Lonchura striata: one gene and its partner. The protein of the gene in region 2 binds, or shares a complex with, the protein of the main gene of each other region. Links are inferred from orthologs where the notes say so. Each region holds a gene or a part of one and is shown on either strand. Other genes may lie near its edges.

Region 1 (7,282 bases), on a different chromosome or scaffold from region 2:
GTACTCCAGAGACTGAGAGGAGCAGAGATGCACAGACACCAGCTGGAGCCCCACAGAGGCTCTTGGAGCCAGTACAGAAGCTGCTGGTTCTACTCAGAACTCCAGACTGGCACTTCAGAGAGCAGCACCTCACAAAAGCCCACGTAAAGGAGAGAAAAATTACATACCTGCTTCAGCAAATTTGCTTTCATCAAAGACCCTGTTCTTCACATCTTTAGAAAAATGGAAGGTATGAATTTTCACCCCATCAATTTTGGGAAACAACAGAGCAAACCCAGCTTCGCCCTCTTCAATTTCTTGAGGCTGATTGCTACTTGAACCCATCGGGGTAACTACGGAGACAAAACCAAGGATCTGGTGTTCAGAGATTCTAATACAAGCATTTACACTAACACAGGCAGAAAGAGGTAGCTCAGGTGACATAAAACATGACAATCTAATTCCGTAACAACTTATCTAATTGAAAACTAACTTTTTTTTGTTAATGTTTTGGAAAGATGAAATGCTGGCTATGGATCATACTGAAGTCCGTTTTGACATGGAGACATGGATATATCTCCCCAGTCACACCAAATATAAAACATGAGGCAAACAAGAACAGTGCAATACAAGCCTTCCTGCCAACTTCTGCAAGCACACAGACATACTCAAGTTTTTAAGATGTCCTATAAGCATGTGATGACAGTATAAAGCAAAACTGACACAAAAATTGAGAGCGCATTATTAAAATATGGCAATGACAACAATCAAAATACCTTACTTATAATGTGGGAAGCAAATTTAAGGTGAGAAACCATAAAAAAACAAGTTTCTAATGATAAAAGTGGAGAATGAGAAAAAGCATGCCACAGGAGGCTGTGAACTTTCCAGTTACTGCATATGCCTCCTGCTAGACCATTTCCAACAGGTATATACTAGGATGCCCTCTACAGTTGGTCACAATATGACTGAAAATTATATATAAATCCAAGCAACATTCAGTAAGTACATTAAGGTGCCAGGGAAAGCTGCCTGCCTAACTGAATCAACCCTTTTAATTTTAACTGTAATACATGAAGTAAACACTACATCACTTAGTAGTGACACTGTGAACTCCTTAAAATTGAAACCAGTGCTGAACAGTGCTGAGATGACACCTTCAAGTTGACCTCTCAAAAACCCACACATTTTGCTCCTACCTACAATCCCTGGGGTGACCAGTCCAAGAACCTGACATCGCTTTGGCAACAACTTTTCAAGTGCGAGTGCTGTTTCTTTACTGTTCCTTTTTCTGGCTGTTAAAACAAGAAGAAACCAATACAACCATCAGACAGCAGTAAAAGTGTGCTCTGAGGCAATCCCACAGCCGATCCCATCCTGTTTAACCAATGCTGCCCATCCGTGGCTGCCCTGGTAACAGCACGCTGGTCTGTGCTGCTCCCTGAGAGCTGCCGGCAGGCAAACACGCAGCGTAAATGCAACACTACGCAGTCACGGATTCTGCAAAACATTTCCCTTCCACTGAAACCCAAACACAGAAAATTCCCTTTCAGCTGACTATGCTCTACTCACATCCAGTATGTCTTTAAGTGGGAGTGAGTTGGGTCCAGGCTTTACCTTTCTTTTGTTCGTGACACTCCTCGTGCCCGCTGAATGTCTCTGCATCAGCGATGTAGAGCACGGTCTGGGGCAGCACGTGCACCTTCTGCAAAGACACAGGTGGAGGAGTACATAGACAGGACTATAGTAAAAAAGGCAACCCCAACTAGGAAGAAACGATGATGTCTGGCTCCAGATCAGAAGGCTGAAGGACAGCTTTATAAAGTTACACTAGATTACACTAATATACTATTTAAAGAGCAACTATACTATTCTACATACGTACTTCTTACCTATCAACTAATTACCAACTAACAAACTTGTGACTGCCTGCTGAGAGTCCGAGCCACAGCTCAGTCCAGGTGGACACTGAACCCAAACAACCTTCACCAGAATCCAATCCAGCGATAAATTCAGGTAAACAATCTCCATACCAGATTCCACATGGGAAAAACAAAGGAGCAGAGATAAAGATTGTTTTCTCTTCTCTCTGAACTTCTCCTGAGAGACAGAATTACGTCTCTCTGTCCAGAGAATGTGAATGCCACAACAGGACAGAGTGGAGAGAAAGTGGGGGCAGAAACCGAGGATAAACAGCTCCTGCTCCACCGCCAGCCCATACTGGTCCCCTCCCCCTTACCAGACTCCTGCCAGCCAACAGATAACCTCTCATTAGCTTCAAAAGTGCCCAGAGGCATTTCTGCCCACAGGCAGGAAGCTGACCCAAACCTCACAGAAGGAAGAACAGCTCAGCAGACTGGCCCATGACTCTGTTTCCTCTTTTAGCACTATCTAAACTCATTGCATTCATGGTTGTTGGCCTCTACTGTCACCAGTGCTGATGCTGGTAAACAGCGTAGAGGTGCTTCCGGCCCATCTTGTCCCAGTTGATTTAACGCTGATCCGCTGAGGCTGTTTGCTGCTGAAGACCCGACACGAATCGTTGTGCGGTGAGGACCAGCAGCAGGCTGAACGGAGCGCTGCGGGCGGCGCAGTCCCGCGGCGTCGCTGTCCCAGCCCGCGCGTTCCGCCGCGCCCGGGGCGAGCCCGCGCGCCTCACCTCGAGCTCGCGCGCCAGCGCGCGCACCAGCGCGTGGTTCTCGGCGGGGCCCGGCTCCAGCGCCGACACCCACGCGATTCGCTGCCGCGTCCGAAGCGTCCGCCGGGCGCACTCCCTCCACAGCCGGCACACGCTGCAACACAACACCGACGCACCGCGTCAGCCGCGCCGCCCCCACCGACCGGAGCCGGCCGCCGCCCACCCCACTGTCCCGGCCCTTACCAGGCGGCGCGCAGCAGCGCCTTGGTGGGCAGGAAGCCGAGGACACGCTCCACCACCTCGGCGAGGTTGGCGAGGACGTAGCCGCCCTTCGCCGCGGAGTCCATGGCCCCGCCGCCTCCCCGGCCCCGCTGCCCCGCGTCACCGCGCCTACGGCAACTTCCGGTCAGCGCGAGCGGGGAGCCAGTGCACTGGCGCCGCCTGGCGGCGGGGAGGACCCGTCCCGCTCTCACCTCCCCCCTTCCCTCGCGCCCCGGGCCCCAGCACGGACACAGCGCTTCGTAAAATGCTTTTTATTCATAAACTTGATGCAAGTTTACAAATTACTGTACATTGCCGAGGAACTCTGCCAGAAGAAACGGAACCCCAACCGAAGCATGCGCCGCAGGGCGCAGGCCGGGGCCGCCCCAGCCCCGGCGCACCGGAACAACGCGCCCTGGGAGCGGCGCTAAACCTCGCCCAGCTCGCTTCTTTCGAGCTAAAAACTGGATCTACAAGCAAATGCACAAGGACCCGCGGGCGCCTGATAGAGAAAAGAGCATAAGTTCGATAGTCAACTAAAAAAAAAAACCAACATAAAAACATGCTTTTGCACTTCTGAAATGCTTAATCCATGGAACACACCCTTTGCTCGGCCCCGAGGAGTGCACACGCCTAAGGAATAGGAAGTACTACAACCAAAATAAGTCGATTCCGGTAAGGCAATGAAATTGTGTAAGTACACAGACCCAGACTCATCTCCTAATAAAGAAAGAACAGTTCCCATTAGTCTTTCAATAACAAAGCCACCGTCATGACTATGGCAGCATTTCTTACACCTCTAACTGGATGACATGTTTTCGTACTTTACTGTCGTTTTTATATAAAAAATTTTCATTCAAGGACTTTCATCTCATTTTGTGCCAATCACTTTATAAGTTCATTAGTTTAGAAATGATTGCAACAACCCGTTAATAAAATGGAACACCTAAAAAGGTTTTTAGTATTTTAAATAACTTCAAGCTTCATACTGTGGCTCTTGTTAAGGAGCTTGAGCCAACAAGTAGCAGGAACAGTCCAGCAAGTTCTGATGCCCCAGTGGACATGACTAGTTACAAGGTTTTATTGGCACAGCCTTGCTCTGCATAAAACCAAAAAACCAAAACAAAATTTAAAAAAACAAACAAAAAATTTAAAATAATCTAAACAAAGAGCATATTTTCCAATAAAAAGTTCATATTCTCATACAGCCATGAAAAATGTTTAATGACTTAACATACATGTGTTTTTCCTATATCATTAATTCGGAAAATACTACAAACGCTGTCATTTTAGACCAGAAAAACTACTGTGATTTGCAAGACCTGACATTTCCTAAAACAGTATTAAACAATGTATTAAACTTCTTGGCTTTAAATGAAACAATACAATGCAAGTCTCTGCAGTCTGCCTTTTGCAGAAAGTAAGAAATACACAGAAGTGTGTGAACAACTCACTCCTATTGTATGATCTTTAGTAAGTCAATAGCCTGCTGCAGGGAGAGTTTATGCTTTCAAATAAAAAAAGGGAGAAGGGAGGGTGTGGCCCAAATCTGCTTACTCCATAAGAACAAATATGGTAAAGGCCCAAACTGCTCAGTCCAGATGCCTAAGAGCGGAATGGTAAGGCTGTAACTTATACTGTACGTGTCAGTTGACAGAATATCCACTAACTTATCTAATAGCTAAAGTCCTCAGTACAGCTGTTATAGGGGCACTCATAGCTTGAGTCTGTGTGTTGGGAAACATAAAAAAGAGCTTGTTTTGTTGACATTGGTCCAGGTATACAACAGTCCTCAGCCTTAGCCATCTTCTTTTGGAGGAGTGTACCAGCCTGTGGAGAACAGAGAGATGTTAGGTACCAAAGCTGCTGTGTCCAGACCATCCTACTCTTCACCTGTGGGAGATGGAAGCCTAACCTGGCTCAGTCCTTCCCTCTTAAAGCAGGCCAGCTCAGCAAGACCCAGTGCCCTAAATGCGAGTAAGTCAGCAGTGCAAGACAAACTATGTGGCACATACCAGGATGTGACCTGGTATTTGGGTGTGCACACACAGATTTCTACAGCAGCAGCTATCCTGAGCTGGACAAGCGGAACACTAACAAGGGGAAGCTGCTGAAGGAGGAACATTGCTCTAACCAAACTTAACAGAAGAGAGGTAAAACCCACAAGTCTTCAAGCTACTTAAAACAGACATATAAACGTGACTGCACTGGGACACTTATTTTGAGTTCTGTAGAGTTAGGCATGCAGAAGCAACTGAATGGCTTATCCTACTTCTGCAAGTCTTACCATAGGAATAAGCTCAGAAATGTCAGATGGATAACTGGTCTCCTGGCCTAATTTGGCATGTTTAGCAGCTGAATCACACCTGATCAGGTGTGCACTGCTTTTTCTAGAGACCTCCAGAGCTCCAATCTTAATTCTCCCAGCCCCTCTTGTAACATTTCCTTTAAACGTGTACAGTAACTACAAGGCCTGTTTGTGCTGTCCCAGAGAGCAAATAGCACCTCTAAGCTTAAGACACCTTTCACAGCAGCACTGAGTACTGTGAAGGCTTTGTGTACAGATCCTGAGGCAGGACTGATCACTTGCAGCACATACAAGTAAACAGCCACGCTGGCTTTTGTAGCAGACGAAAAGGCAAAAGGCTCAGTTAACGGCAAGATCAAAATACTGTAAAATTTGAGATGATGTTAAATCATTATCTTTGATCTTCCTCCCAAGAGTACAAGGAACAAGTTATGTTCCATGTGAGCAGCAGGGAAGCTGAGGTGCTCACAAACACATTTACAATGACCTCAGTTCCTGGAGGACACTGTGTCCAACCCAGAGCCCTGAACAGCATGGAAGTGTAACTGCGCTGGCTCTATCATCAAAAGACCAGAGTATCAATTCTGCTGACTACCTTTATGTAACATGTAAGCTACTTAAACCTTTTATAGCCTCAAGCTTCTCATACTGCCACAGTAAATTCAATTGTACCTGAAGCATTTGTACACTTGTTTTATGCAGCAGAGATTTTAAAAAGCCCATACCAAAACACGCTTTTCCCTATTCTATTGTACACTTTCCCAGCTTGTACACCTCACTTGGACTTTTTGTATGTTTTAGTCTCGGGTCTTTTTTCCCTATTTTTTTTTTCTTTCATTAATGTTATTTCCACTAGGTTCTTGACACATTGAAACAAAATCTTTCAGGGAAAGGGATAAACTCCCAGCAGATACTTCACCAATATTAAAGAGTCCTTAATACTTAATGCTACAGTAACAATAAAGTCCCTAGATCAACTAGCTGAAAACAATACGCAGCTGCCTTTCAAGAAGCAGCAGGAACACACACAACATTCAAGTAAACTGGAAAAGTTGCAGTGATTGCAGTGAAGTTATTTAAGCACTACTGCTTTTCTAGTGCAAGAAGAAGGAAGAAACATTAATGGTCTTCCCAAGCCAAAATAAGACACTTTGTCACTTCAAGTTTCTCTGTGGCAAACACCAATTCCCAAGGTGCTGTGCAGACAAGAACAAAGTGGCAAGAATATACATACCATTTTTCTCATGTATTTGTACTAGTGACTTATAGGACTGCTGTGCTCTTGCTAGATTATATTGATTCTGAAAGGAGAAAAAACTAACATAAAAACCTGCATCTAGACATGAAGACTCAAAAACAGTTCTAACAAGGAAATTCTACAGTGGGCTTAAAAATAAACTCCATACACAATGTTATAACATTCCTGGCTTTCAGGATTCCCTTCTCAGAGCTGGAAATTCCAAATCTTCCCAATTCTAATCCTCCTTGCCTCCCCCTCCCTTGCCGATACAAGGACAGTAAAAGCCTACCCTGCCCATCCCAAGACTATCTAACTCATCTGCTTGTAATTACATAAAAAATGTTTAATTGCCAATAAAATACACATACAGGCACCCGCCAAGTTGAAATGCATATATATTTGCCATAACAATTTTGTCATTAAGCATCCTCAATGTGGGTCAGCAAGGAAATGGAATCCCAACAGGGATTTGTGTAACTAAGAAACACAGTACATTTACCTTATTGGCTCCAAACTGTACTCTGGCTTTTCCTTTGACTAAAGTGGCATTGATCTGCATGATGACTGATTCTATTGAGTAGGCACTGCTCCAGCCCTGGAGGAGGAAAAGAATGCCAACATACAACATATACTTGCTTCTTGTGCTCACCTTGCAAACCTGTTTTGGAACATGTGCTTTAGGATTTTTTTTCCTGCATTCAAGTTTTAACTACTTATTTTCAGTTAACATTTCTTTTCCACAGAAAATCTGTAAAATTATATACAGTCCTAGTACTAATAACTCGTAAGAAGAATGAAAAGGCTGAAGCACATTTCCAAAATATAGAAAGACAGAAACAAAAAAGCTCCATCCTTA
Region 2 (7,339 bases):
GTGGGAAGATTGCACTACCAGCAATTAGTTCTCCTAAACTAAGCATATGCAGAGGGGTCATCACCAATTGCTACTTCAGGAGCCTCTCAATAGACTGTATTATAAATTCAAGAGATGGGTTCTTCCCACCCTAGCAGTTTGTTTTGTGGAGAGATGACTCTTTTCCCCAGTGTGACCCCTTCACGTGAACACGGTGGGGTTTGTTATGCACTCAGCCTGTGGTCCTGGGAATGCACATCCTCAGTCCCCTGAGCATCAGGTGTTTCACCAGGTCTCCCTCCACCTTCCCAAATTCCTGGTGTTTCCATCAGTCCGTGTGTGGATATGCTGGAAAAAAAAAAAAAATATGCTGGTTTCGGGCTCAGCAGTTTTCTGCCACAGGGACTTAATTCAACCAGAGCCCTCCCAGGTGTGATCCCACAGCAGGACTCGAGGCTGGAAACGCTCATCAAGCCCTGCATGACATATTTTGGGCTCCCCACATGTACCTGCATTTCCTCACAGGGTTCAAGAGAGCTGCTGGGTGAAAATTCCTGGTCTGGACAGCCTGGCTGCAGTAATTTCACCTCCTGAACACCTCTGGTCTTCTCCCAGATCCATCAGCTCAGGCATTGCTGTTTGACAAAATTACAGCCACTGGCAGTGTTTACTCCAAGCTTCCAGGAAGCAAATCTATTTTTCATTAATAAATAATTTTCCTCATTTAAGTATTCTTAGGAGGCTTTTTTAGCTATCCTGCTGCAATTCTCATTCTTTGGTCTTTTCATACAGCTCGTGCAGCCTATCTAAGCAGAACTCTTATTTTCCACAGCTAGCCCCTTTGTTTCCCACCTTTTTGCCATTGTTTACACATGGTTTATATCCCTTCTCGCAGAATCAAAAATAATTCTCATTCTATTAAAGAAAAGAAGCCCCTTTTTTTCCCATTGAAATATTACTGCTTAATTTAAGGATGATGGTTTTAAAAATTATATCTAGAGAGGAAAAAAAAGGGACACCAATTTTCATTTTATGTGAGTCTGGACCATATTAGCAGTAGGTTTAAGAGAATTAAAATTACAATTGCATTTTAAAAGATAGTTTACTAGAACAGGATTTACTTCTAGATAGAAAGCATTTTTTTCTCATTTTTTGTAAAGAGGGAATGTAAAAATATTTTCCTATGATTAACACCATGCTTTCCCAGGACAAACAAAAGACTTTTGTAAGCCAGAAACCACAAAAAAATAAGCATGTGTGTTCCCAAGGATTAGAACAGTATTACACACATACAGCAGAAGACGGTATGGAAATAAATTCTAAAATAATGTGTTCAAAGGCTTCAAAAACCATTTTAAAATAAGAGTCAGTTTTTCACCTCATACATATTGACACAGCCCTGAGGTTTCAATCACTTAGACACATACCACAGTAGCTCCTTGATAGCTCAATTTACAGTTAGAAAATGTTATCTAAATGTAGATTAGAAAACAGCTTTTGTGTTTGCAAGTTCACAGGAGGGAGTGGTTTGGCTTTCATTTATTGGAATGTAAAATGGACGAATTTTATATATGATGCCTACAGAAGTCATATTTAATGTGGCCACATGTGCAACAGGGTTGTCAGCCCCTGTGAAACTAGAAGATGGGCTTTGAACATTAATTTTTCCTAACGATTCCCCAGCACTTTTGCTGTGAAGGATTCTGATGGCAGCATCCTGCAGAACTATGTGGCCATAGGTTTAATCTGGGAGCTATGTCTGTGGCCTGACCCAGTTAGACACATTTCCACCCAAAAGCATGGGACAGGCATCTCCAAAAGGAGTTTCACCACACCTGTCTCAGACAGCAGCCACAGAAAGGGAAAAATTACCCCATGGAGATGCCTGACTAATTAAAGTCCCATTAATGCCACCAATGTATCAGAAAAAAAAAAATCTATTGAAAAAAAAAAAAAAGACATTTTCCCTTCCTTTCTTCTGGTAATATTGTTATTATTTGTTATCATGCACGCTAACTTGTGAGCATTTGTCACCTAAGCTTTTATATTGTTTTAAATGCTTAAAGCATTTGTTATTCATCTGCAGGAAGATGTATGTCCTTGATGTTTAGCTTAGATTCCCAGATCTCCTTTTTAATGGTTTTACTTCTTCGTTTTAGGAAAAAAAAATGGGACTTTGGTTTTTTGTATTTTTCCTCTTCTAGTTGTGTCTAATTTCAACGCAGGAAGTACTTTTGCAGCTCTTCAGTCTGACTGTGAGTGAGAACCAAGCTATTACACTGTAACTTCACTCCCTATTGTGTGGGAAGCAAGAATTGCATCATCCCTAGGATCCAGAACAGGAGATGAAGATCCCTTCTTGGTGGGTGCGGTCCATGATTTTGTAGTCAATCTTTCAACCAAAGTAAGAGCTCCTTTTGTTTTTATTCATTTCTTCCCTCTTCTGTTTTCCTCTCTTCCCCATAAAACTCCTTGTGAAAGACAAAAAAAAAAAAAAAAAAAAAAAAAAAAAAAAAAAAAACAAAACAAAAACTTTCAGTCTAGTAGTAGGCATTTTAAATTTTATGCTTAAACATTGTAAATATCTCACACTTCTGCAACTCAGTTTTTACCATCTAAGCAGTTGTCTTTATTCCTCTCTTCAGGTGTGATTATTGGGGCATTAGGAATTCCCAACAGATGTTAACAGCATGACAACAAGTCATGGAAAACATAAAAAGCAGGCATAGAAACTTTGATTCAGAGTACCTCAAGTATTGTTAGTACCCAAACTATAGACAAATGCTACTTTTTGGATATCATTAGCTAACAGCTGCTCTTAAATTTAAATTCCAACAAATTGCTTAAGTTATTTTGTGATGCAAGTCTTTGTTCTGGTGAATACGTTGACCAACTCATAAACACAAGTAATTAAATTCTGCCTTCTTAACAAGGTGGAAGGCCATTAGCAAATAGACATTGAAGGAAAATCTATATTAGGCTGTACTAAAACTGAAAGCCTACTGTAAAAACAGCTGAAGAAAGTTATGGACACTTAAATACCCGTAAAACAGTGTGTCATTTAAAAAAAATCATTCAAAGGCACACTAAATTATTAAACTGGGTTAAAATATCTTAACAATTAAGTTCCCATTAGCAGTCTTGGCAGTGCATTCATTGGTTGTCATTAGTGTTTTATGCAGGAGCTTCTGAAAGAGGCTGGTGCCTTTGGATAAAGAGGTACGTGGATTTGGGAGGGAGACGAGGGAGAGGAGGGAAAGGAGGGAGAGGAGGATGAGGAAGGTGATGAGGGTGAGGAAGGTGATGAGGGTGAGGAGGGAGAGTGAGGAAGGTGAGGAGAGAGAGGAGGGAGAGAAGGGTGAGGAGGGAGAGGAGGGAGAGGAGGAAGAGGAGAGTGAGGAGAGAGTGAGGAGAGAGAGAGAGGAGGGGAGAGCAGGGGTGAGGAGGGGTGAGGAGTGTGATGAGGAAGATGAGGAAGAGGAGGGAGAGAAGGGGTGAGGAGGGAGAGGAGAGTGAGGAGTGTGATGAGGAAGAGGAGGGAGAGGAGGGAGAGGAGGGAGAGGAGGGAGAGGAGGGAGAGGAAGGTGAGGAGGGAGAGGAGGGAGAGGAAGGGTGAGGAGGGGTGAGGAGGGGTGAGGAGGAAGAGGAGAGTGAGGAAGGTGACAAAGGTGAGGAAGGAGAGGAGGGAGAGGAGGATGAGGAAGGTGATGAGGGTGAGGAAGGTGATGAGGGTGAGGAGGGAGAGTGAGGAAGGTGAGGAGGGAGAGGAGAGAGTGAGGAGGGGAGAGGAGGGGTGAGGAGGGTGAGGAGTGTGATGAGGAAGATGAGGGTGAGGAGGAAGAGGAGAGTGAGGAAGGTGAGGAGGGTGAGGAGGGAGAGAAGGGAGAGGAAGGTGAGGAGGATGAGGAGGATGAGGAGGGAGAAGAGGGAGAGAAGGGAGAGGAAGGTGAGGAGGGTGAGGAGGGAGAAGAGGGAGAGAAGGGAGAGGAAGGTGAGGAGGGTGAGGAGGGAGAGAAGGGGTGAGGAGGGAGAGGAGAGTGAGGAGTGTGATAAGGAAGAGGAGGAAGAGGAGGAAGAGGAGGGAGAGGAGGGAAGGTGAGGAGAGGTGAGAGAGGAGGAGAAAGGAGGGGTGAGGAGGGTGAGGAGTGTGAGGAGAGTGACGAGGACCCGTCGCTCTGCAGCCGCCCCGCGCGCCGGCGGGGCCGCGCATGCGCGGCGGCGCGCGGCGGCGTGGGCGGCCGCGCGTCGGCGGCGAGCGCGGCGTCCAATGGGCGCGCGGGGCGTGCGCGGGGCGTGCGCGCGCCGGGGGGGGGCGGGCGGTCACCTGACGCGCGCGCCGCAGTCGGGCCGCAGCCGCAGCCGCAGCCGGAGCCGGGAGCGGCGGGGCCCGGGCGGGACGGGACCGGACCGGCTGAGGCGGCAGCGGTGCTGCCGCTGCCCTCCGGCCCGCGGCGGCGGGCACCGAGGTAACGCCGAGCCGGCCGCCGGCGGGAGCGTGCGCCGCGAGGGGCTGGCGGCGGGGGCGCTGAGGCGGCGGGGCGGGGGTCGCAGCGCGCCCGCGGGGCCGGGGCCGGCGGCGCGGCCTTCTCCCGGGGCGGGGCGGTGGCGGAGGCTCCGGCAGCGGCGGCTTTCCCTCGGCGGCGGCTCGCTGAGGGTGTCGCCCCTTCCCCCGAGACCTCCCGGCTCGGTGCCCCGGTTCGCAGGGCTGCCCCCGCCGCGCTCCCGGCTCTGCGAAAGGGCCGGCTCGGCCCCGCCGGGGGCTCGGCCGCGCTGCCGGGCTCAGGCGTGCAGCCGGCGCTTGCTTCCCTTTGGGGGCAGCCGGCGAAGGTCTGCTTTGGACTGTAAACAACGAAATACAAACCCTGTCCCTCCTGCTCGGTGCGCTGAGATCCTTCGCGTGTTTTGGGGCTCGGTGGAAAGGTGGTAATCGCAAAAGAGCAGTTATCTATTTTAGCCCGACAGTAATCCCAAAATCATCTGCAGCTCGGTCTTCCAAATCTTTATTAAACTAAAAAAGGAGGGAGAAAGTGTTCTAGCACTGGAGCTGTATGTCGAGTGAATTTTGACAGGTTAATTTGAGGCACTTGAGGAAGGCAGTTTCTCCGTGTTGAAATACACCTGTCTGCAGTAATGGAGTAATTGCCATCCAGAAGCACTGTAAATTAAGGTGATGCAGCACTCTGAATGCTCTAGCATATAGAGTTGGCTCTTTAATCTCAAATATTGCACCTCACAGCAAGAAAAGAAAGGAGTATATTGCTGTCAACATGATGAGTATGAATTAGACCACAAAATATGGTTTGTAATGCGAGTTTAACTTTAAAGATTACTTAAATAGCATAATTACTCTTGGATGCCCTAACTCAAGTGAGTAAGCCTTGTATGTACCTTAGCAAGCAGTGAGGCCCAAACCAGAAAGATTTGCAGGGAGAAACAGTTGTCACTGGTAACTGAATACCCGCTGTGTTTTTCAGAAGGATTCTAAATCTCTTAGTATTTGACATTCTTGAGAACTTCTAGAGTGTGTTTTCCAATTTACTTTAAAAAAAGAGCCTACTATTGTTGTCTGGGTTCATCTTGTGATGTGAATGAAAGCATGATAAATGGGGTGTTAGGGAAGTTTGCTTCACTAGCACGCTCCTGATTTTAACCAAAATGCTGAAGTACAGCTTTAGCTTCCATCAGCTGTATCTTTTGAGTTTATGTGTAAAAATATGGAAGATCTGAATGTGTTAAATGTTTAATTGCTTTTAATCGGTTCTAATATTCTTATGCAAAGGATACTTCGAACACTATTAATTTTTTTATTGTAGAAATGGTCTAGTGTTAAAACCCATACCCTTTACCTGATCCTTTGGATCAGGTGGGCACTCTTGTTAGGTGTAGAATAGACAGGTCTTTGCACATGAGTTCTGTAAGTCCCAAATAACTCTGCCCTATGGTTCAGGGAAACGCAGCTCAACAAGTCTCCTTGTCATTATCATCCCCACCTTCCAAGTTTGATCATCAGTGTATTTCTTTAAACACTTAATGGGTTTTCTTTTAACCATAGTCCTCTCTTTTTGCACTGGGCATGCTGGTGTGGAGGCAAAGAAGAGTGGCAGATCAGTTTGAGTCTGAATGCTGGGATTTTAATTGTCCTGTAGAATTCAACCACTGAAAGTTTCATGGGGGAGGTTCTGGGGAGTAGGAGACAACACTGTGGTATTCATAATGTGAGTCCTGTTTATATGTAGTCCTTAGTTGAACCAGAGGTGGTGTGTTAGTTGATGCAAGTGTGGGTAGGAACAAAACATTGACTGAGCCAAAATTAACTGCTGAACCAATCATTAAGTCGTGCAGATTCAGCCTAGTGTGACCACAGTGGGGATAATGTGTGACGATCCACCTGCAGATTTCCCTGCCCACACCTCTAGTTCAGAAGTAAGCAGTCTGGAGAGGGGACTAAAAGTGATGGAAAGGCTTATTTGGCTGTAACAAATCAAAGACTGCATCACAAGTCACTCTGTTTCCAGTAGTATGCAGTGTTTTTTGGTTAAGTCACTCTTAAGGATGGAAGGAAGTTTTGTTCTTGTTAAGTATGAAGGGAAAATGTAGTATTTGGTATAAAAGTGAGTTAGAATGTCAGAATAAGGCTCAACTGACCAATCAGCTACTGAAGCTTTAAAAAGGGGAAAGTGTGTTGTGAAGGGTAAATTAACTGTAGAAGCATTGTTGAAATACAAATAAATTGAGTTTAATTATTAAACATACATTGGAGAGTGTAAGAGGTGTAGCCTAGGGTATCAGTAACTAAATGTCTTTAAATGAGAGCCTGTGTCTTAAAGAATATTTAATTAATGTTAGAAATTGTGTTTAGATACTTTGTGAATGACTTTATTTGAGCTGTCAACATAATGTTTGTAGGTGTTTGGATTCCAGTCTTGGCCCATTGACAAATACTATGATAAGTAAATATATGGCAGTTGCTTGCCCTGTTCATGCTGCTTTTAAGGTCATCAAATCACAGAATCCTGGAGTGGTCTGCATTGGAAGGGACCTTAAAGATCATCCATTTCCAACCCTCTGCCACGGGCAGGGACAGCTTCCACTAGAACAGGTTGATCCAAGTCCCGTCCAACCTGGCTTTGAGCACTTCAGAGATGGGGCAGCCACAGCTTCTCTGGGCAACCTGTGCCAGGGCCTCACCACCCTCACAGAACAGATTTTTTCTAATAGCTAAGCCTGCCTTCTTTAAATTTGAAACCATTCCTCCTTGTCCTGCCAGTCCAGACCCTTGTCCAGAGTTTCCCTCCAGCTCTTGGAGCCCCTTTGGGCACTATCAGGGTCTCTAAGGTCTCCCTGGAGCCATCTCTTCTCC

Evidence for each region. Proteins that work in one complex are often made in the same cells at the same time.
Region 1: the proteins of BACH1 (region 2) and FBXO22 are in contact, whole or in part, in a cryo-EM structure (PDB 8S7D), measured with the Homo sapiens proteins. The link is inferred for Lonchura striata from reciprocal best matches to the Homo sapiens genes BACH1 and FBXO22. Residues at the interface, in NP_001177.1 of Homo sapiens: Ser7, Val8, Phe9, Ala10, Tyr11, Glu12, Ser13, Ser14, Val15; in NP_671717.1 of Homo sapiens: Asp366, Gly371, Asn372, Phe373, Ile374, Leu375, Arg376, Lys377, Cys378.

The regions. Positions count from the first base shown.
Region 1 is NC_134613.1:4,671,470-4,678,751, reverse strand, and holds the start of FBXO22 (F-box only protein 22), read right to left. Parts: upstream 3,019-7,282; 5' UTR 2,965-3,018; coding exon 2,861-2,964; intron 2,772-2,860; coding exon 2,639-2,771; intron 1,685-2,638; coding exon 1,597-1,684; intron 1,275-1,596; coding exon 1,179-1,274; intron 333-1,178; coding exon 168-332; intron 1-167. Other genes in the region: UBE2Q2 (ubiquitin-conjugating enzyme E2 Q2), read right to left, coding at 4,677-4,708, 6,421-6,487, 6,926-7,021. UniProt on the Homo sapiens protein: Substrate-recognition component of the SCF (SKP1-CUL1-F-box protein)-type E3 ubiquitin ligase complex that is implicated in the control of various cellular processes such as cell cycle control, transcriptional regulation, DNA damage repair, and apoptosis.
Region 2 is NC_134604.1:4,185,185-4,192,523, forward strand, and holds the start of BACH1 (transcription regulator protein BACH1), read left to right. Parts: upstream 1-4,337; 5' UTR 4,338-4,445; intron 4,446-7,339. UniProt on the Homo sapiens protein: Transcriptional regulator that acts as a repressor or activator, depending on the context. Binds to NF-E2 DNA binding sites. Plays important roles in coordinating transcription activation and repression by MAFK.